Linked DNA regions of Tamandua tetradactyla. The protein of the gene in region 1 interacts with the protein of each later gene in a pairwise test. Links are inferred from orthologs where the notes say so. Each region holds a gene or a part of one and is shown in the gene's direction. Other genes may lie near its edges. The genes, in order: UBA52, UBE2R2 and SNCA.

Evidence for each region.
Region 2: the proteins of UBA52 (region 1) and UBE2R2 interact in a two-hybrid assay, tested with the Homo sapiens proteins (2 studies listed by BioGRID and IntAct, with this or other methods). The link is inferred for Tamandua tetradactyla from reciprocal best matches to the Homo sapiens genes UBA52 and UBE2R2.
Region 3: the proteins of UBA52 (region 1) and SNCA interact in binary tests that used the Homo sapiens proteins (3 or more experiments, as listed by UniProt). The link is inferred for Tamandua tetradactyla from reciprocal best matches to the Homo sapiens genes UBA52 and SNCA.

The regions. Positions count from the first base shown.
Region 1 is NC_135337.1:96,078,434-96,085,966, reverse strand, and holds UBA52 (ubiquitin-ribosomal protein eL40 fusion protein), read left to right. Parts: upstream 1-4,933; 5' UTR 4,934-5,054; intron 5,055-5,442; exon of another isoform or gene 5,443-5,611; intron 5,612-5,732; 5' UTR 5,733-5,740; coding exon 5,741-5,843; intron 5,844-6,081; coding exon 6,082-6,168; intron 6,169-6,551; coding exon 6,552-6,654; intron 6,655-6,732; coding exon 6,733-6,826; 3' UTR 6,827-6,932; downstream 6,933-7,533. Other genes in the region: KXD1 (kxDL motif-containing protein 1), read left to right, coding at 990-1,090, 1,955-2,107, 3,104-3,150, 3,351-3,661.
Region 2 is NC_135328.1:62,249,984-62,256,928, reverse strand, and holds the start of UBE2R2 (ubiquitin-conjugating enzyme E2 R2), read left to right. Parts: upstream 1-3,866; 5' UTR 3,867-3,884; coding exon 3,885-4,061; intron 4,062-6,945. UniProt on the Homo sapiens protein: E2 ubiquitin-conjugating enzyme that accepts ubiquitin from an E1 ubiquitin-activating protein, and catalyzes its covalent attachment to other proteins by an E3 ubiquitin-protein ligase complex.
Region 3 is NC_135350.1:36,699,870-36,707,947, forward strand, and holds the start of SNCA (alpha-synuclein), read left to right. Parts: upstream 1-5,017; 5' UTR 5,018-5,148; intron 5,149-6,228; exon of another isoform or gene 6,229-6,376; intron 6,377-6,624; 5' UTR 6,625-6,649; coding exon 6,650-6,770; intron 6,771-8,078. UniProt on the Homo sapiens protein: Neuronal protein that plays several roles in synaptic activity such as regulation of synaptic vesicle trafficking and subsequent neurotransmitter release.

The DNA.
Region 1 (7,533 bases):
CCTGTCGGTCAGCCACTACATGTATGGGCCCCAGAGCTAAGCCAGCTGGGATTTCAGGCTTTTCCTACCCCCTCCAGGAGGGATGGCATGGAAACCGTGACCCTTCCTGTTCAAGGGCCTGGGAAGCAACCCTCAGCCTGAGTTTTGCCAGGGAAGATGGGTGCTGCACAGCTGGGTGGCCAGAGCCTGAAACCCTTGGCTTTAACTTGGTAATAAAACTCTTATGTCAGCTAAGTTCTGGGGAGCACTATGAGCCAGGTTCTGGGTCAGCCCTGGAGGCAGAGGAGCGAACAAGACAGATGTGGGTCCTTCCTGGGGCTGCCGTGGAGGCAGGGGCAGCAGACCAACAGGCCAGCTCAGGATGGAGATAATTTTTGGAATGAAGAGATCCAAACGAGGCCAAGTGATGAGGGGCAGGGTCGGGGTGGCCATGTAGGACTTCTTGGGGAGGAGTCCGTGGGGGTGAATGGTGATTCGAGGGGCCGCCGCGCACAGTCCAGCCATGGAAACAGCTAGCGCAGAGGCCCTGGAGCAGAGCAGGCAAGGGAGGCGGCTGACTGAGCTCCGCAGGCGAGAATGCCAGGGCCCTGGGGGCCGAGGAACTGGGAGGGGTCTGGGTGGGACGTGCCTGCGCAGCAGGACCTCCCCTGAAGACTGCCTGTGCAGCGGTGTGCTCCTCTCTGCCCCTGTCCATGTGGGTCCAGCTCCCCGACCTAGTGGGTCAGGGGCCGCGTGGCTCCATCATGACTGCGGCTTCGCGGACGGCAGCTGCAGAGGCCCTCCTTCCAGAGGAGGCCCCGTTTGCAACACTGGGTGCCAGGACTCTGATGTCTTTTGGGGGGACACAGTTCAGCCCAAAGCAACCTCCTCTAGTTCTCCTAACCCCCCCAAATTCCCAGCTGAGGCTCGGGGGCCTAGTGACGCCACCTGGGGCCTGGCACTGACCAGGCTCTTCCTGCCCATTCCAGGCAGCGAAGACAGAGGGAGGGATGGAGCCCCCGGACTCGGCCTCGAGGGTCTTCTGCAGCCGCATCCTGAACATGGTGGACGCGGACGACGTCAACGCCATCATCCAGGCCCAGAAGAACATGTGAGTGGCGGCCACGCGCCGGCCTGGAGTGGGGGCCCAGCCCCGCCCCTGTCCCAGGCCCGCGCTGGGGATAAAACGAAGGAAATGAGCAAATCTGCCTGGCTGGCTCCAGAGCGAACTCCTTGCAGGCCTGGAGGCGAGGCCTTGGCACGGGAAGCAGGGCCGGGGAAGGGTTGCAGCTGTGGATGGCTTGGCGTGGGCTGCCGAGACTCCTGTCCCAAGCCTGGGCTGGGGAGAGCTGGGGGGACAGCAGTGGGCCACTGGGGGGGTGAGGGAGTGGGAGAAAGCCGGTGAGCTGACTTCCTGTAGGGGCTGTGAATGCCCTGTGCCCTCGGGATCCAGAACCCTAGTCCTGGGGAAGGGCGGACAGCCTTTGCTGTCAGCTCCTTAAGCCGAAGGCCCTCCATGCCCTCCACTTGGGACAAAGCACAGATGTGATTTCCTTGTGTTTCTCTCACCTTGTGACAGGGGTGCTGAGTGTGCCGAATCTTAGAAGTATCCTTCTCAGCTCATTCATTAGGTCAGGTTCCAACCTGGCCTTGGGAACTCCCAGACTGGGGAGACAAAGCCAAATGCCCTTCCACCCTCCAGCTGTATTGGTCTGGACCGTGCCAGGAGGAAGAATCTGGGTTTGGGGGAGTCAAGAGACAGAGTAAAGAGCCTGCTTGAGGGAGCAGGTGACAGTGACAGAAGGAGGACACACTTGAGTAGGGTTTTTAAAGATGAATAGGAGTTTGGGTGAAGTGCTGTAGAACAAAGGAACACGGCCAAAAAGCCAAAAAGGCCTTAGCGGGTCAGTTCTGGAGGTTTGAACTGCGGGTTCCGGTCCCAGCGGAAGAACTAATGCCTGCACCCTGCACGCAGGCTCGACCGCTTTGAGAAGACCAATGAGATGCTGCTGAACTTCAACAACCTGTCGAGTGCCCGCCTGCAGCAGATGAGCGAGCGCTTCCTGCACCACACCAGGACCCTGGTGGAGATGAAGCGGGACCTGGACAGCATCTTCCGCAGGATCCGGTGGGTACCTGCCCCCGCCCCTCCGGTCCCGTCCCCACCCCTCCGGTCCAGTCCCTGCCTCACCGCACCCCACCCCGGCCCCCGCCCTTCTCTGCACACCTCCACAGAGCCTTGAGGTGGCATCGGGGGAGGTCTGGGTTTTGGGATAAAAATCTTTTACAGTTTTCGGTTTTAACTTTATTCTTTGAAAAAGTTGATAGATCTCGGGACCCATGATACAAAAGGACTGGCAGCCCCTCACCAGCCCCCCCCCCCCCGCCCCCGCCCCAGCAGGGCCGTCAGGGAGGCCAGGGAGGCAATTTGTGAGTCCCTCAGCAGCTTGCCATCCTTAGTGGAAAATAAAGCAAGCCCTTGGGCCGAGAGGTGCTGGCCATGGGGCCTGGGCCGCAGGGGATCTATGCCAGGCCTTCCGTGGTCCCTGGGCTCTGCTGGACTGTCCCCACGCCCAGCCTTCCTCCCTGCTTGCAGCTGCACCTGTGGCCTGCCAGGAGGGCGCCCTGCCAGGTGCCCAGACTGGCTGAGGGGGAAGCAAGACAGTGAGGGTACCTTCGTGGGGCAGGAGCTGGGGACCCTCCCTTGCTGGGGGTAACCATAGAAGCACAGACTGGGGAAATGAAGGACCCCCGGCTTGAAGAAGGAAGCAGGGGCCCCCCTGCCAGCTCCAGTTCAGCAAGGGCCAAGGCCGTGCATTTTCCCACACAACCTCCCCGGGTGCCTGCCGGGTCCCAGCCCCCAGGACCCCATGGAGGGCAGGATGCAGCCAGGGGCACGGAGGAGTGACTGCTGGGGAGAAGCTGCCCAAGCGGGTTCCAGGTCTCGGAGCTTAGATCCCAGGAGGGCAGGCTGTGTGGCGCCCCATGTGGTCCCCAGGTGCCTGCCAGGGCAGCATGAGGCCACCCCAGGGCTGAGACAGGCCGTGTGTGGGGCGGGGCAAGGACCCCAAGGACCCCTGGCCATGCTCGCTCCCCCCAGCCCCATGTGCTTCCTCCTCTGCAGGACGCTGAAGGGGAAACTGGCCAGGCAGCACCCTGAGGCCTTCAGCCGTGAGTGTCGCTGGGGCTGTGCACCCACCAGGCCCTGGGGGGTGGCCCAGGGAGACCCAGGCCAGGGGTCGGTGGGGTAGGGTCTGCAGAGAACTGCTGTGATTGGGCCCCTCTCTGGGGGGAGGTCGCTCAGGGAAGGTGGACAGGTATAGGGACAGCCGTCACCCAGTGAGCCCAACACAGGCTTCCCACTGCCCCAGGAGGGGTAGCACCCGGTGGAAGAGGGCGCAGCGAGGAAGGGGCAGAGGCAGGACTTGAACTGGTGGGCCTGTGCCCTGCAGACATCCCTGAGGCATCCCTCCTGGAGGACGAGGACGAGGACCCCATCCCACCCAGCACCACCACCACCATCGCTACCTCGGAGCAAAGCACAGGCTCCTGTGACACCAGCCCCGACCTCGTCTCGCCGCCCCCCAGCCCGGACTTTGAGGACCTGTCCCACGTCAGGCCCATCTCCCCTGTGGTCAATGGCCGCAGCGAGTGGGATGACGAGGGGATGCCGGGCGAGTAGCACTGCTCCCTGGGCTCTCAGGTCCCAGCGTGGGGAGCCCGTCTCTGAGTCAGCTTTCCAGGGCCCTCCGCACTGCTCCCGCCTCTTAAGCACGCAGCTCTCCTGCAGGCCCTCTGCCAGCCAGGGGCACGGCTTGCCCAGCTGGCATCGGGCTGGGCAGGAAGGAGCTTTTCCAGACCAGGGTCTGTTCTGAACAGACCCAAAAAAGGTGAGCAGAGCCAGATGTCCTGGCCCCCAGGCCAGGTCCTCCTGGAGGCAGAGCGCCGCCTCACCCCACCCCACTAATTCGGATCTCCCTGTCCCTTCTTCTGCTGAAAGCGTAGATGGATTTCTCCAACCGGTATCCCCTAGGGGAGCTTCTGGGATCGGAGGCTCTTGAGGGAGGGTGGCAGCCTTGCAAGCCTGGGCCTGAAGCCGGAGGTTCCCTGATCTGAGGCACAGACCCTGAGTGCCAGGCAGGTCTCCCCAAGGTCCCCGGGGCCAGCCGAGCCACCTCGAAAACAGAGTTGAACGCAATATTTTTGTACCCGATGTTTACAGATGCTGTTGGGAAGTTATCAATAAAGAGTCCATTACTAAAAAGGGAAATGTGTGCCTGGCAGTGGCTTCCTTCAATCCTGGGGCCCTATGGGCAGGACATGCTACGTGTCTAGGGAGAGGCATGGCTGCCATGGGGGGAGCCAGTAGTGGCAGCTGCTACCACAGCCCTACTCCCCACCACTACCTGGGCATTGGACAGTTTCCCTCCCTCCTCTTCTCCCCAGCTCTGACCCTCATACCTGATCCCCAGGGTGGGTCCCACTGCCTGCTAAACTCAGAGCCCTGTCCCTTCCCGCAAGGCACTGAGGAATTAGGCCAATAAAACATCTGCTTTTTTTTAAAAAAAAAAAATACTGTGCTACGTTGTGCTGTCTCATTTAAGCACCAGCCAATTAAAAAAAAAAAAAAATACGAGTGGGTCCCTACCCCTTCCCGCATACCGCACCTGGAGGCCACCCGACAGCCCCCAACAGTCCATGCGTCCCGCCGCGTCCGGGGCGAAGGCACTGTTTCCCACCCGGAAGCTCGGAGCCCTCGTTCCCCAGACACCCTCTCCACGGCTCGGCCCCACCGCCACGCGGCAGGCCCGGGGCCCAGCACCTGCCAAGGTGCGGCCTCTTCAACGTGACCCTGCGGGGGGTGGGGCCCGCACAAGGAAGCGCGTCGCTGCCGCCCGCCCACACTCGCCGCGGCTTCGCTCGCCAGCAGTCAACATGGTGGCGGCATTGGGGGCGGGGCGCGGCGCGCATTGTGACGCAAGCGCGCGGCGTGCTCGGTGCGCAGGCGCTCTCGGGGCGAATCGGCGATTTCCGGTTCCGCCTCCCTCTTTCTCTTCAACGAGGCGGCCGGGAAGGTGGGTGTCGGCGACAGTGCGGGTTCGCGCCTTGCCGGGGTCCTGCGGGGGGTGGCGGGGCCGGGCGGGGCCGCGAGAGGCGAGTGGGACTGGGAAAGAGGCCTTCCCGCCCCGCGACCCCGAGCGCGCGACCCGGAGGCCTGGGGGCCGAAGGGGCAGCGCCGAGTCAGGGGGGCGAGTCTCCTCCGGGCCAGACCCCGCGCGGAGAGCCCTGGAGCCGCGCGGCACCTCCCGAGCCGGGTCTCCGCACCCACCCCGTCTGCTGCGAGGGCCCGGCGCCAACTCTCGGGCTTCTGAGACGCGTTCAGCAGGCCTGTATCACGTGGTGGGCAGAGGCGCGGCGTGGGGCCAGGGCATCCTGCGTGGGAAGCAGAGGAGACGGTCTGAGGAGATGGGGCTTGGCTCCTAAGCCGGCCGGGAGGTGCGAGGGCTTGCCGGCTGTCGGCAGGCCTGCGCTCGTCCCCTCTCCGCATGGCCCGCGTGAATCAGGCGTGAGGAGGCTGAATCTGGCCCTGCTCGCTGTGAAGCCCGCTCCAGCCAAGGGATCAAGCAGTAGGGTGGGGAGAGGACGGTCCTGGCAGGACTGTAGGCCCGGCTGGGTGGGAGGGCGATGGCGGTAGCCGCGGGGCGGGGGCGGGCAGCGCCCGAGCTGGAGCTGAGCCCCGCCCACCCCGACAGACGCAGAGATGCAGATCTTCGTGAAGACCCTAACGGGCAAGACCATCACCCTCGAGGTCGAGCCCAGCGACACCATCGAGAATGTCAAGGCCAAGATCCAAGACAAGGAGGGTTAGTCTGGCAGGGGGGAGCACCAGGGAGGTGCTGCCGTGTGTGGAGTGGGAGTGCGGCCCAGACAGGCCACGGCTCCGTCAGCAGTCCCCAGTGTCACCATGGAAGGCTTGTTCGCCCCGTGCCTCGGTTTCCCCTTGGATAGGATGGGGGGATGCTGAGACCCCCTGGGAAGGAGCTTCCAGGACGTGTCACTCAGCAGAGCCTCAGCCATGCGGGCTTTCTGCTTTCCCCTCAGGGATCCCGCCTGACCAGCAGCGTCTGATTTTTGCCGGCAAACAGCTGGAGGACGGCCGCACTCTTTCAGACTACAACATCCAGAAAGGTATGCAGGGGAGCAGGCACCCAGGACAAGCAGCCTTTGGCCCTGGTGGGCGCTCTGCGTGATAAAACACGGAGTTCAGCCTCGACCATTATTTCCCAACAGCCTCGGTGTCCTATGTTCTTCACTATGGGACTTCATTGCATTTAGAAATGCGATAAGGGACACTTAGAACTGCTATAGAGGAAACTGGTGCCATTCGTCTCAGTTATGAGACTTAATGTCTTACCTGTAAAAGGTTTGCCCCTGCACTGTTAGACGTTCCTCTGGAGTTTGGGTAAACCCAAATGGACACTGTGGGTGGGGCTGTGCTCCCCGTGGAGGGGCTCCAGCCCGAAAACACCCTTTGCTGAGGCTGCCCCGCCCCCCGCCCCCCTCCCCCACAGAGTCCACCCTGCATCTGGTACTCCGTCTTCGAGGTGGCATCATTGAGCCTTCCCTCCGCCAGCTCGCCCAGAAGTACAACTGCGACAAGATGATCTGCCGCAAGTAAGCGGCCAGGCGTGTTATGGCGGACAAGGGTGGGGTGGTGGGTGGCGCCCTCACCAGCCCCTTTTGTACCCCCAGGTGCTATGCTCGCCTGCACCCCCGTGCTGTCAACTGCCGCAAGAAGAAGTGCGGCCACACCAACAACCTGCGCCCAAAAAAGAAGGTCAAATAAGGACCCTTTTCCATGGTTCCTCGGCCTCTGGCAGGGCAGCCTCTTTCCAGAGTCCCATGGCCCTGAGACCTCAATAAAGTTTCCTTTTGGTTGACTGAAGCAGTAACAGGTGTCCATGTGGCTGGTCTGTGCGAGAGGAGGGGCCCTGAGTGGCCCTCTAGCATGGGGCCATGCCCCCGTTCCCTGGATTCTGCCCTTTCCTGGGTATGACTCTGTGTCATACAGAAAGCTACTCAGCCTCACCTGCAGGGGAGAATGGAGACCGTCGGTCAGAAGACCATGGACCAGCTGTGGTTTTCACCTGGCCAGACTCCCTGTGCTCTGGGAAGCATCCAGGTGTAGGCAGATGAGCAGCTAGGTGGGAGCCCCAGCTGGGCCAGCTACAGGTTCTCACTCATACCAGCACAGAGGGGCTTTCTAGAAAGGCTGAGTGAGTGGCAGGGCTGCACGACTGACCACTCATGGCCTGGCTCTCACCACCCTCTTCCTGGCCAGCCTTTACTAGGGCCTGGTGATGCCTGAAAACAGCCCAGAGCCTTTTCCACATTGGCTTCCCTGGGGCTACAGTCTCAGGCACCTCCAGCTTCAGCTGTTGGGGTTCCACTGGGCCAGTCACCCTCCATCTGCCCACAGTTATCTGCTGTGCAGCACCCCTGGGCCTGGAGTCGCAGGAGGACAGAGCCCGAGGGCACAGTCAGTCTCTTCAC
Region 2 (6,945 bases), on another chromosome or scaffold:
AGGTTCAACTGCAGGTTCTATGTTTACTAGTTGTGTGACATTGGGCAACTTTCCTTACCTCTTTAAGCTTTGGTTTACTCATTGGTAAAATAGAGATTCTAGTAACAGCCATGTCATTGGTTTAATGAGGATTTAAAGGGACAATGCATGTAAAATGTCTGTGCCATAGTGATGCTCAGCAAATGCCAGTTATAATCATTAGAAGAAATGTGTGGCCCCTTAAGAGCAGTGCCCAAATCTTACACAGTTGGTGTCATGTTGAATGAATGAAAAAAAATTGGCTTCTTAGAATCATTCTGTAAAGCCAAAATCAACATTTCTAAAGCAAATACCAATACCCTCCCTCCATTTATCTTGCCAAGATTTCCATATTTTTTCTATCTGGAAGAAAGGAAATAGATTGTTCAGGAGCACCCTGCTTAGAGAGTAGCAGGTGATGCAACAGACTGGGCCTAGGCATCTAACTAAAACATCAGTTACCACCAGAGGGCACCAGCCAGTGAAGTCAATCTATTTATGTCTTAAATCTATGGCATTACGAGATGAGAAAGCTCTAAGAGGCTGTTTCTGCCATTCATCCTTTTGATAAATGTTTTGAGCCCCTACTATATGCCAAGCAGTGTAGTAGCTCGCATATGGTTATGAATAAGACCTGTTATCCTTATGGAATTTCTAACCTTGAGCACCTTTTATGTGCCCAAGAGATCATATTAGGCATGGGAGTGGGAGTTCAATTTGTTACTTTTTTTGTTACTGATTGTCTTCCTGCCTTTGGCTGTGAGTCCATGAGAACAATTACTTTAGTGTCTAATTGTGTTTGACAGTGTGTTGGTTGCTGAGGATATATAGATGAATAAGACACAGTTGCAGTCTACTAATGAACAATGTCTTATGTGCTACAATAAAATGACATGAAACTGGTTCTGTGGAATTCCAGTTCTTCTGACCTAAGGATGGAAAGTCTCGAGTACACAGTTCACTAATCAACTAGGCTGTGAGTCTCCCAGACAAATGAGTTTGTCAGCTACCCAACTTTGGGTGATGCCCAAATGGATGTTTAATATGAGTCTGCCAGTTGATGTGAGCTAAAGGAGCAGTTTTAGGTCTGGATGCCAAATATATATTCAAGTGGGTTAGGCTAGGGATTCACCATCCTTTGGATTAGGGTGGAGCTGTGACGAATTTATGTGGGTGAAATGCTTTGAAGATGAAGTTTCTGCCTATTTGTCTGTTCAGAGCCTTGTTATTAAAGGTGTCAACATTACCTCCCACATTTCCGGGTCAGCAAACTTCTTGTACCCAAAGTGAGGGGGAGGGGAAGCCAGAACCAGTCATACAATATCATTTTTGTGAGAAGGAGCTACATTGACTCGAGTTTTCTGCCTTTTCTGAGGGGAGCTCTAAGTTCGGTTGTGTTTGGTGCCAAGACCTAGGGGAGTGGTTGGGGTCTAGAGAATTATCCTTTAATTAAAATACTGAGACCCCCATCTTTGAGAAAAATGAACAAAAAAATGAATGGGATCCTTTAAATGTTGGGCTGCACATAGTGACTTCCTTCCAAAGGGTATCGTATAGAAAGGAGAAAAAAGTAGACTTTTTTTTTTCTCAAAGGAGAAGCTTGACAAATACCAGTCAGATGATCAAGGTGAATGCTGTGACAAATCATATTGATAGTATGTACCTTTGATATGATATGATGTGATGAAAATGGCACTTTATCATTGTGATCTTCATCCCAGAGATACATAACTGTAGTCTAATTAGGAGAAAAATGTCACACAAATCCCAATTGAGGGCCAGTCTACAAAATACCTCACCAATATTCCTGAAAACTGTCAAGGTCATAAAAAACAAGGAAAGTCTGAGAAATTGCAACAGCCCAAAGGAAGGCGCCTAAAGAGACACGATAATTAAATGTGATGTGGTGTCCTAGATAGGATCTGGAACAGAAAAAGGACATTAGGTAAAAACTAAGGAAAGCTGAATAATGTATGGATTTTAGTTAATAATGATGTTCATTAATTGTAATAAATGTACCATATTAGTGTAAGATATTAATAATGGGGGAAACTGGATGACGTTTATGGGAATTCTCTGTACTATTTCTCATTGGTAAATCTAAAACTTTAAAAAGTCTATTTTTAAAACAAAACAAAGGAAGTGGTGTTCAGAATACAACTGTGACGCTTAATTTTTTTCTTTCTTTCAAGGTCCTATTTATGGATCATTTACGACGTCAGTCATTATGCTAAACGCTGTACATAAATCTCTTTTGATCATCACAATTGCTTGTTAGGTATAATTAACCTCCTTTAGAGACGCTGATGATACAGAGGTAATGTAAATGATGGAGCCAGGGCTGGAACCAAGACTTCAGATAGTAAAATTCTGAGTGTGTGGAGCCCTCACAGTATCCCGGCTTTTCTAGGAAACATCTAGGCAAATTTAATAGAAAGTGCCTTTCTAAAGAAAGGGGTATACAAAAATCAAGGGCACTGAAGACTGTCCTCACATCTCACCTCAATCATGATTATCTTAAAAGCCCGTCACTTCCAGGTTGGATTTTGAAGCTGAAAGGGGTCAAAGTCAGAACATGGTATTTTACAAATGGGCAAACTGAGGGGCAGTGAGAATACTTGCCCCAAAGTACACAGAAAATGATCAGGAACCGAGGTTCAGCCTCTAGCACTATTTTTCTCTCTCTTTTTAACCCCCCTTCAACTTCCTCTTTGTAGTTAAGAAGGGAAGTAGGAGCTATCTGTCTTCCTCAATTTCTCGGGTCGGAAACTCTCCCTCCCCCAGGTAAGTGACTTGCCCAAGGACCCTCCGGCATGAGGACCGAAAGTTCGTGCCGGGGAGACGTGGTGAAGTTGATGTCATCACAATACCCACATTCAAAGCACATCCTTCTCAATCACCTACTGGGTGTAGGGCCCGCATACTGAGGGCCTCGGGGAGGGCCTGCGGGGTCCCTGGACTCGTCAGGGAATGTGTGCGGAGGCCGAACGTTCTCGTCGGTACCTAGTAGGAGGGCGCTGATAGCTCTTGGATCTGAGGTCCCTTTGCGGGAGCGCCTGTGGAACCCCGGCGTTGAGCTTCACTACCTTGATTTTATGGCCAACGTTGTCCCTTGCGGCCACCCTAGGCCCCCACCCGCGGCCAACGTCACAAAGCGCCGCCACGGCGCGGGGCTGTGGAGGAGGCGGGGATCTGGGAGGAGGAGGGCGAGGAGGGCAGGGAGGGCGGGGGAGGGAGGGGCGCGCGCACGCGCGTCGGGCCGCCAGCCGCTGCGAGCCACCCTCTCCGGGCGCGCGCCCCTCCTCCCTCCCTGCTTCTTCTGGGCTCTGTCGCTCCCGCGGCGCGAGGCGCTCTTGCTTCTCTCCTCCTCCGTCGCCCCTCCCCCCGCGCAGCCGCCGCCACCGCGAGACCCTCGCGTGCCGCCCTCCCCCTCCCACCTGGGCCCCGGCAGACCCCCTGGAGAACGAGAGGGCGAGCGAGCGCCGCGTTCCCGGGCCAGCACCCTCCCCTCACCGTCGCCAGCCCTCCACCGCCTTCCTCCGCCTCCACCTCCTCGACCCCCCCCCCCCCCAGCTGAGGCCCCCTCGGGGGGGGGAGGCCCCAGACCCGGAGCGAATTCCCCCTAACTCCCTCGACCCCTCCCCCCCGCCCGTCCAAGTGTGAGGAGAAGGGCCCGGCCCGGCCCGCGTCGCGTGTGAGGAGGACTCCGGACCGGCCCGCGGGCCGTCTGGGGCCTGGTCCGGCCCGCCGGGTGTGTGAAGACAGGGGCCCGGCGCGGCCCGGCCCGAGGGCAAGCGGAGGGGAGGGGCCTGCTCCGGCCCGGCGGGTGCGTGAGGACTGGGGCCCGGGCCGGTGCCACCGCCGCGATGGCCCAGCAGCAGATGACCAGCTCGCAGAAGGCCCTGATGCTCGAGCTGAAATCCCTGCAGGAGGAACCGGTGGAGGGCTTCCGGATCACCCTGGTGGATGAGTCCGACCTCTACAACTGGGAGGTGGCCATCTTCGGACCCCCCAACACCCTCTACGAAGGCGGCTACTTCAAGGTACCTTTCCCCCTTCCCGGACCTGGCTTTCCCCGGCCGAGTCTTCTGCTCCTCGTTCGGTTTCATCTGTTTTCGGGGCTAGAAGTGGGAGCGCGTGTGAGTGGAGGGGGCTCCTCACCTCGGCAGCCCCCTCCCCCCATCCGTGGAGGCAGGAAGGCCTTGCTCACGAAGTGCCTTTTCTTTGTCATGGGGGCGGGGGCGGGAGGGGAGGCCAGACTGCGCTGGGAAATAGAAAAAGTCTCTTTTTGGCTAGGGTAGTAGAGAACGGAGAAGGAGGGCTGTCTTTGTTTCCCCAGCTGAGGGTGTATGGAAAGAAAGGTAGTTTGTCTTTTCTATCTCCTTCTCCCATCAGAATCATCCCTGCGTAGGCTGGAACTGCCCCAGAGGGCAGGGTGACCTGCACTTATTGGGTTTTTCTTTTTTTGGGGTGCGGGTGGGGGTGGGGACATTAGCCTGTCATCCCAGAGGCTGTCTAGTGACCTGACATTTTGAGGATTTGTTGGGATTCTTGGCTATTGGTAGTTCCAAGTTTGCATTCCAGTGGGCGGTAATGAAGAATAGGACCCTGGGGGTGGTGGGGAAAAAAAGGGTGCCTACGTTTTCTTGCCATTATCCAGTTGAGGGAACTTTATCTAGACCTTTTTCTGACCTGGTTCTCTATTTACTTCAGTAGTGTTTCGAAATGCCCTTTGTCCTCCCCCTGCCACCAACTTTACTGGCATTTTTTTCTATATGTACAGGAGTGGAGACAAAATTGAAACCTTTTACTCAGGTAGTTAACTCTAGCAAATGGGGTGATCTCACAGTAGAAAATTATCTTTGGAGGTGAGGTGGTTTCACAGGGTGGGTTGGCTCCTTATACAGCCAACAAAGAAGTTGTCTGTTCTCTATGATTTAGAACAGTGGTTATGATCATTCCTGAATCTAGTGTTTTTGTTTTTACTCTTAATATAGGTATCTTGAAGATACTAAATTTTTATTTTATTTTAGAGTTTTTGGCGAGACAATCACAAATTGAAGATTTGAATGTTTTAATTGACAGGAAATGAGTGCTTAGGAATTCATTTAATTTAGTTTTTTTATTTCCAAAATTAAGTAAAATAGATCAGTGAGTCAGTTTTAGTTTGTTTTGAAGGGAGGGACTATCTTGGCACAGGTTTTAAATGAGTATCTTAGTCATGTAGTTATGATGTGTATTTTTAGGACTACCCAATTACTTAACTCTTGTTTTCTACCCTTCTAAAGGTAGAAGCCTCAGTTTCAGGCTTGAAATTCTGTCCACTTTTGTAGACCCTTTGAAGGATTGATGCCATAATGTCTAATATTCATGCCTGTGGTGATGATTCAACAACCTAGTAAGAGCAGATTTTTAGAGTACTGTGTAAGAGAGGTATCCTTACCAACTGTGCTTTGTGGTTAGCGTGCAGCATTCTTTTCACATACAGATATTCAAAATCACTAAGTAAATATACAAGTTGTTTGTGATAGATTGAAGAAGGGTAGTCCTGTGTCCATGTTGAGGCCTCATTTTACTACTGTTATTAAATATAAATATAAATTTTTGTTTATGGATACTGGAAAATTATTTACACAAAATGGAATTTATTTGACAATTTTTCTAGCAAAATTATTTAGCAAAATCTACTGACTAACTTTAGCAGAATAAAGATTAATTTCTTAAAAAGTATCATAGTTTGGGACAGTTGACAGTCAAATAAATAGGTGCTAGTTAGAATAATTGCTCTAATGCTGTTTGTTTAAAAAAGTGTGAAAGAAAATAATAGGCTATAAATTATAGTAGATTAGATAAATTTTGCCTAAATTACTAGGGAAGGAGTATGGAGAAACCTGGCAGTTCAGAATAGATTGTATGGAAGAAAGATTCCTTAGAACAGTCATTGATTTAAATTAAACACTTTTAGTGCTGCTTAAAAAAAAGATTTAATCTCAATTTCATTGTATGTGTTAGATTTCCTAATCTTTCAGGTTTTCTTTACCTTTAATTCTGATATGTGAAAAAAAAATTCTTTAAAAAAATTCTTGAAGTTGTCATGTTTTAGTGTTTGAGAAGTTTGTTCAATTAATTGTATTTTCTTCTATTATTTTCCTCATTGATTGCCCTTTTATCCCATTAGCCCTTTATAATAAAGAGGAGTTAACACAGGTGATAGGTTTAAAACCATTGTTTAGTAGTTCACTACTTTTGACTCAAAACAAAACTTGCCCTGCTATTGCACTACAGCTGCAATTAAAAAGTTGGCACAGAGCTTTCCCTGCCATTATTCTCTTCCCTTATCAAATGTTAGTCCTTTAACATTTAGTATAATTTATTTTTAACTTAAATGCTTCTGTATTTTGCATAATAATTTGTGAAGGCTATGGAACTGTCATTCTTTAAGTTTTCCATATAACAGTACTTTTATATACCAGTAGACTACTAATTGATCTTTTTCCCCATGAAATAGTTGACTCTAGTTTGTTTTAACTAGAAGTTCTGTTGTGGAGACTTGTGAGACATGTATTTCACAATTTTTAAAAATTCATTCTGCTTTTTTTTTTTTTTTAATAATTCTAATCCTTGTGATTCTTAGTTTTGGGGTTATGAATGTGTGTTGGGTAAGGTAGTTTCTTGTGTCTATTCTGCACATATGAAAATATTTTTTGATTTTGCTCTCTTTTTGTCCACTTAATCTTATTGACCTTCTGAATTTCTTTGCTGCTTGGAATTTTTCCTCTAGGGGTCATTTGTGTACAAAAGACAAAGTAGGAGATGGTTTAGAACACTGAGAAAATCCCTGAACTTGATTTTGCTACAGTGGAGCAAGTCAGAATTTTATTCTGTTATTGGAAAAATAAATTGTTGATCAAGTGAATAGTTACTGAC
Region 3 (8,078 bases), on another chromosome or scaffold:
ATATGAATTGACCACATGGCCCCGTGTAAAACACTAGTTGTTTTATTGGGAAGACGAAGAAAGTTTATGTTAAGCATGCATTTCATAGATGTTTATCTATACTAAATTATGGTATTAAACCAAAATAAAATAACCCAATTAAGGAGTAGGAAAATATTTAGACTCTATTTTTCAAAGAGAAAATTAAACATGTATTCAGTTCTTACTACCTGAATGCACACCTCAGTAGTGCTTCGCAACAGGTTATTATTCTGTATTCTGAAAAGGAACAATCCATCCAACTAGTTTAAATTTTAACCTTATATTCAGAGGGTTAAAATTTATTCAATCCCATTCTGTCAATCAATGTTGGAAAGGAAAGTATGCGTATTAACTTCCAGTTCCCTTCTTTGTTCTGGGGAAGCACACCTCCTTAAGAATATGGAGGTAAGAAATTACAGGTAGAACATAAGCAATCACTGCTGATGTTATCACTAACTGAAATTTTACTTTTAATTTTATGTTAATTGAAAATCTTCTAAATAACAAAATGTTTTATTTAATTTTATTTTAAAAGGATGCTTACATGTTCAAAGCACTTTGAAGTGCAAAAAGAAGAGTAAAACTTATAATTCTAATTCAAAATGACAGAAAACAATCATTTTATAATTTTGTTTTTTTTCTTTTTTTTTTATTTTGCAGATGTTGAGAAATCATTTCTGCCTGCTAAGAAGTATCAATACAAAAAGGCACATTTTCAAATATAGATGCACTATTTTATAATTACATAAATTCTCTTTGATTTGGATTGTCATATCTAAATTCAAAGGCTAATTCTAACATAGTGGGGATCCACTTTCTTTTCCTTCTCACCATACATCACTCCAAAAATATGAGGCTTCAGATGGTAACTGTTGAGTCAGGAAATGATAATTCCTCTTGGAATGGTTTCTGCTGGGGATCTCAACTCTGCCACATGAGAGCTGGGTGATCTCAGCCTCAAAGTTACATAATAAAACTTAACTTAGTCCTCTGTTATGATTGAATGATACAGTGTGTTAGTCTTTTGCAAAGCAAAAAGTACCATATGAAGGCATGGAATCATCTTATTTATAAAAATGCACACACAAAAAACCACCCCAAAATAATTCTACCAGTGGTCTGATATAGGCCCTAAAATACTTATCATTTTAGTCACTCCTTGACTTAATATATCAGTTCTCAGTATGTGTCCCTGATAAACTATAAATATGTCATATGAAATCATATATAAAATAAGTATCATAATAATTTATCATGGTAGGTAGCTATGTTGAGTCACAGTGGAAAATGTTTATTGTTGGCAGGGGAGGTCCCACAAATGTGAAATTGACTATGAATGGTCTTGCATGCTTTTGGTGAGGGGTGTCTTCTTGCAGGACTTGGGAAAGCAGAGAACAGAAAGGGGGCACCAGTTTATTGTGTTACTAAGATTGGCAATTGCTGACAGGGTAATTTTTCTATTCTACCATTCTACATGCATATCCACATGCTGCATTTAAGGTTCACAGAGCTTAGTTGAAAATAAGATTTAGGATTTATACTTCAGAAAAGAAAAGACACTTTTCAAAACGATTCTTTACAAGAGGGTGATTGATTTTAATCTAGATTTTCTATCCCTTTATTACTTGATCTGTTTTTTTCTAAGTGAGAGAGAATAAGGCTAAGTCAAACAATGTTCTGGTCAATTACAGTCATGATTTAACTCTGGCATAAGAAGATAGAGCCAGTGTGTTGCAAGTGAGCATCCACTAAGACCCCTCAGAATCATCACAAAGCTAATGATCTGGCCTTAAAGGATTAATTTGGGGTGTTCTGATTCACCCATCCTTCTCAGCTCTCCTCTGGAGCTCTATGTCTGGCATCTGACAACTTTCAGGGCTGTCTGAATTCATCTGCTTGTGTCTTAATGGAAGATACTATCTCCTTCTCCATCTCCTCCCCACCTCACCTTCAGCAACTTAAATATGATATTCCCACACTTTTATTATTCTTTCCTTCCCCATTTTATTCTTATGTTTTATTACAGAGATCCATTCTCATATCTGATTCAAATTGGTATTTGCTACAATAGTACATTGTTTACCTTTGATCTTAGACATCCATGACCAGTAATGACCAAGGGAAAAAGGTTGAAGCTATCACATTCTAAGTCCAATAAGTTGTATACAAGGAAGGAAGGAAGGAAGGAAACAAGGAAGGAAGGAAATTTATTTTTAATTAAAGTCAATCCTAACAGAAATCTGAAATTGAGAATTGGAAGAAACAGTGAAAGAGTATCAAACACCACAATGAGATGTGGGTTACCACTACATTCCATTAAGGTGGCTAAAGGGAAAAAGATTTATAACCCAAATGTTGGGGACCATGTATAGACCAGAACTCTCACACATTTCTGTATGAATGTAAAATGGTACAACTACTTTTGAAAATGACCTGGCAGTTTCTTAAACATACATTTACTGTAGCGATTCCATTCTTATGTATTTACTGAAGATAAATGAAAGCAGGTGTCTGTAGAAAGGCTTGTAAAGAAGCTTCATAGCAACTTTATTCATAATTTCTTCAAACTGGAAACAACCTGAGAGTCCATGAACAGAAGGATGGATTAAAATACTTGGTAATATTAATGCAATAGTGCTTTGCAAAGCATAAATTATCATATAGAGGTGTGGAATCATGCTGTTATGAGACGCACGAAAAGTAACAGCTGCCCCCAAATAACTCTCCCCTTCATCTGCCATGGAGCCTATAAAAATCAACCAGTTCCAGTCATTCCTTTAATTTAAAGCATTAGGTCTCAAGAAGGTCTCTGTTAAAATGTAAACGTGTCATCTCAAATAATTGATGAAATCATTATCTTAATAGTCTCTCAAGAAAAGTCACTGTGAAAATCACTTTTTATTGGCAGTCATAAGGGAAACAATAAAAGGCAAATAAAAGAAACAAATTTCTGAATGAAGTTTGAATGAACCTCACATACATTATGCTGAGGGAAAGATGATAGATACAAAAAAATTATCTTGTATAACCTTTTATGAAATTCTAGACTATACACAACTAAGAAGGGGCAAAGACAACTTTCTGCATCTTCAAAATGGTGTGGATTACACTAATGCAGAGATTTTTCAAAACTGGTTTAAAGGAACACTTAAGGTCTGAGCATTCACTGTATGTAAATTATACTTCAACTTAAAGAAGATCATCAAATGTCATTGTTATTTTTAATAGTTCTTATATTTTATGGAAACATGCTGAAAGATTTACAGGTAAAAAAATTTATATGTAATGCCTGGGATTTGCTAAAAATTGTAAATATCAGGACAGAATGGGTCTGAATTCCACTGAAAACTGTGGGAGTTGTGTAATAGTCTCTACCTGGGGATACAGCTGAACATTTTCCATAATAAAAAAAGGTGAAAAAAAAGGGATTATCTGTGTTCACCTCCTCATTATATAAGAGAGAAAACTAGAAACAGAAGGAGGCAAAACCACCCTTAAGTTCTCAAAGCCTGGTTACAAACTATCTCCCAGGTGCAACCTTCTTTCTCTGTATCCAGGAAATACAAAATATATGTAACTGTTTTTCTTGAAAGGCTGCTTTTAAAAACGGCACACCAATAATAAGCCCTTACGTATTTATGACCTCATACTTACTTTCTTCTCTTCTTTTTTCTACCGAACACGCGTGATTATATATACATATATATATATATAATATTCACACATATCGTTTGCTTTCTGTCCTTTGAGATTTCAAATGATTGTTTCTTGATTGCATTTCGAGAACCCAAACGAGGCAAGGATCAGAGAAATCTTTGTTTCTATAAAAAAAAAAACAGCAAAAACAAACAAAATAATTAAAAACAAAAACAAAACCATATAGCGAAGACTTGTTTTTCCCTTCCAGGGCTGAAATCATCCTCCCAATCCCAGCAAAGGAAAGCAAAGACATTCTGCTGAGGGAGGAGCTTAGTCTACTGTGATCCAAGAACAGCTCCCCCCTCCCACCCCCAGCCCCACCCCCGCCCCAGCTCTAGAGAGGTGAACATGTATTAAGCGATGCAAACATTGTCTTGCGGCGCGCTCGCGTTTGTGTGTGTGTGCACGGGTACGTGTCAGCTCCGACAGCAACAAGGACCAGAAGTCAGAAAGGTGTGTGGTGCATGAAGTCTCATCTTCAGAAGGGACCGAAGAGGAAATTGGATATGATGGTCCAGCAGGGCACACCAGGCAGCTTTTGTTCCCTCCATCCAGATACTTGGGTCTGGAAAGTAAATCCCACTTCAAAAGCGAAAAGCTTGTGATCACTGGTTTTCGACGGCTGGGGAATATTTATTCCTTGTGCCAGTGATGGGAAATTCAGCGTCTGGCAGCCTCTGATTGGTGGAAAAGAAAATGGTGATAGTGGGGTGGGAAGACGATTTGACAAGCTTCCTCCTACCTCAACCTGTAAGTCTTCCTTAGTCTCATCTCCGCTTGAGGGTCCTTTCAGGCTCCTCTGGGGTTGGGAGCAAACGAATATCTGAAGCTATTTGAACAAAAGCAACCGCTGGTCAAACTTAAGCTCTCCGAGGGAAACGTGCTCTCGCAGGTGCAGATATAAGCATCTTTCCTAGGCTGCCTCTCTCCCCAAGAGATTGACTCGGACTTTGGTGTTCTATCCCTTAGGCCCCCGGCTCCCGAGGTTGGATCTGGCGAGTGGGTCCCCAAGAGGAATCTTACAGAAAGGCAGAGACAGGGGAAAAGGGCGAATGGAAAAGAGGGAGAGACATTAGCCAGAGGCCAACCGCTTCGGAGCCTCCCAGTAGTTCCGGTGACCCTGTACTTGGGGTGAATCGCACTACACCCTACCTTTCCGCCTTGCAGGACCAGGCGGGCCGCTTCCAGTTGGAAGGATAACTCCACCTTTCCCCAACCCCCCAACGCACACACAAAATCGAGCCAAGTGCACGAGGCAGGGAAAGCAGCGAGCTCCGGGAGAGGGGCGGGGAGAGGCGCTGACAAATCAGCTGTGGGGGCGGTGAGCCGAGGAGAAAGGGGAGGAAGAAGAGGAGGAGGACCACGCGCCAGAGAAGGGGGTTGGAGAAAGGGGGCGAAGGAGCAAGCGCGGCGACGTAGCAGAGTCAGGTATGTGCTAGCTTTGGAACGGTCCCGGGGGACCGAGCCCCGCCTTTAGCATCCTTCTGGCTCTCTCCCGCCTTCCCTTCCGACCCTCTGCTGTTTGTTTCTGAGCCTCTTGTGCTTGGAACCGGGAGTGGCAATTTGACTACAGGTTCGCGAGTTCGCCTCCCACGCCCCCAGCCTCTTGTCGCTGGGTTGTGCTGACTGCAGCCTACTCTGGGGACCATCCCTCTCCTGGTGCCGCTTGCGCCCTTCCTGTGCGCTCCGTTTCCTCTCTCTTTCCATTTAAATAATATGTGGGAATTGTTTAGCTAGAATAATAATAATAATAAAAATTTAAAAGCAGGGGTTGGAATCAGAGTTCAGGAGAAGTGTAGGGGCTCAGGTAAGTTCCTGTAGCTCTAAACGGGCTGGGAGCTTTAGGAATCCTGGAGAAGACCTGGTGGGAAAGGGGTGACGTTACCGTGGACGCCTGGGACCGGGCTTGGTGCCAAGGTGAGCACCGGCTGTGTCAAGTCTCTGGACCGTGGATGGGTTCTTATTCCTTTGGTGAGCTTGAGGAGAGTAAGTTGACCTGGCTTTCCACATGATTTCCATATTCACCCTTTCTTCCCAAAGGCTGAGAGGTCCGGTCGCTTCCTCGCGGTACACTTCTCCTTTGGGAACCGCGAGGATGCTTGTTGGAGCGTGTGCACCCAACTTTTATTTCTCTTACTTTAAATCCCTCAGTCTGCCCTCTGGGTTTCTCTTGTAAAATAAGCAAGCTGTTTTGGGCGAATAATTAAATGGAAGTGCCGGGAGGGCAAATCAACAGGTGGTAAGGGATTAACAGGTGCGTGTATTGGCCTTCCCAGCCCCAGCCCGCCGGCGGGTTCGCGCTGAGAACGGTCTCTGCCGTGGCGCTCCTGGGTCGTGTGCCCGCGGGTGTGAACGGCGCCTGCTCTGGGCTGATAGCTGACGGTGGGGGTGTATGGTCGGGTAGATTAGAGCGAGCTGTTGGCCTGAGGGTCAACCACACCCAAGTGAGTAGTTCCCTTGCCTTTGCTCCCCAGGATCAATTTGGCAGTCCGCTTCCGACATTCATTTTAAGGATTCCCTCAGGCGCCCAGCTTCCAGCTCCGTTTCTTTTCCTGTGGTCTTCTAAAAGTGCTTGTAACTTAGTCACGGTTTTTTTGAACCCTGGGAAGTTGAAAGAGGGTTATAGCCTTTCATGCAACTCCACTTCGGAAAAGCTGTAAGGGCAGCTCAGATGATTCATCCTAATCCATATTTAGACCCAACTAAGCGAGATGGATAAGGGATGCTAAATATTTAAAGCAAAAGCTAAAGGGCGGTCTTGTCCGATGGTTGAAATGAGTGCACACTTGAAAGTATCTCACACTGTGGGGGAGTTCTGCTAGTTTTTAAGTAGTTTTACCTTTGGAGGTTTGAATTTTGTTTTACCAGGATGTTCTCATTCGAGGTGTATTTTGTTTCCTCTAGTGTGGTGTAAAGGAATTCGTTAGCCATGGATGTATTCATGAAAGGACTTTCAAAGGCCAAGGAGGGAGTGGTGGCTGCTGCTGAAAAAACCAAACAGGGTGTGGCAGAGGCAGCAGGAAAGACCAAAGAGGGGGTTCTCTATGTAGGTAGGTAAGCTCTCAATGCCATTTTAGTATTTATTCATGACCGATGGATTAGGATGATTGATACTGTAAATGCTGAAAGGCTGGTATGCTTTGCTTGATTCATGTTTGCGTCATCACTTGTGAAAAGGATGAACTTAGTCAGGTATGAGTGGGTAGGTAAATGTGTATTTCAGCTACTAGTACAAAATGGAGCTAATCTTTTGCTTTTCCTGATTATTCAACTTCACAATAATATTGAAGGTTTTTTGTTTCTTTTCTAAGAAATGAATGTTTTTGTGAATAAGTGATTATATTTCAGATGACAGTTTTTAAAACAGCATCTTTAAAAAATCAAGAATATCCTTAAGAAACAAAATGATTTATTTTTGACTTATCCTCATGATTAATCTTCCTTCAATTTTTGTATTATTTTGATATTAAAATATGACTTTACTATGGCCTCAGATAGGTGAAAAAGAGACCTACTATCACCTCAAAATAGAAAGGACAGATTAGTCTCTCATGAAGTTTCCCTTTGTAACCATTTGGTAGACTGGAAATTAAGAACCTAAGAAAATACTTGAGTGTTATTATTAATATCTCTGAAACATAAATATATTTTATTTCTCAATTGACATATAATAATAAGGTTGATCCTTATCACCTCTGCTTGTTCCTAATTCCCACAGTGGAGTTTTCACCCAGACCAGAACCCTCATTTATATATAACTAGGAGTGTATTAGGTTGAGTCTTATTTTATAAACCACTTGAAGTTCTTTTGGGAAAGAGTGATATACGAGGCATTCACACACTCACACTCACACACACACACACACACACACACACACACTGCCCATTCTTCCTCTCCTCTTAACACTCTGCTCCTGTGAACTTTTCCACATTCTTCAGTGGCAGTTAGGACAGCTTTAGCCACAGGATGAGCCATAAAGTAGAGGATGAATTTACTGAAATTTATATCAGATTTTTTTTTCTTATTGTTGCTCATAGACTCCTTTCTATGAAAAATTACTTTTTATTCCTCTACTTTAAGATATATTTTCAGGAAATCATTGCAATAAGGAGTGTTACATGAGAAAAAACCTTGAATGAGTTTAAGTGTTTTGTGAAGTGTGAACTACATAACTTTAGGTGAAATTTGCAATACTGAATAAATGACACACAGATTATAGGTACCTTTACATTTGCCATAAATTGCCCAACTTGTGCAAGTGCACTGTAGTAATTTTGGCTTGAGTTACTTTATAACTTTAAAGATTTTCTTTGAGGGTACTAATATGCACTTCCTTAGTTTGTCGCTAATCTCAAAA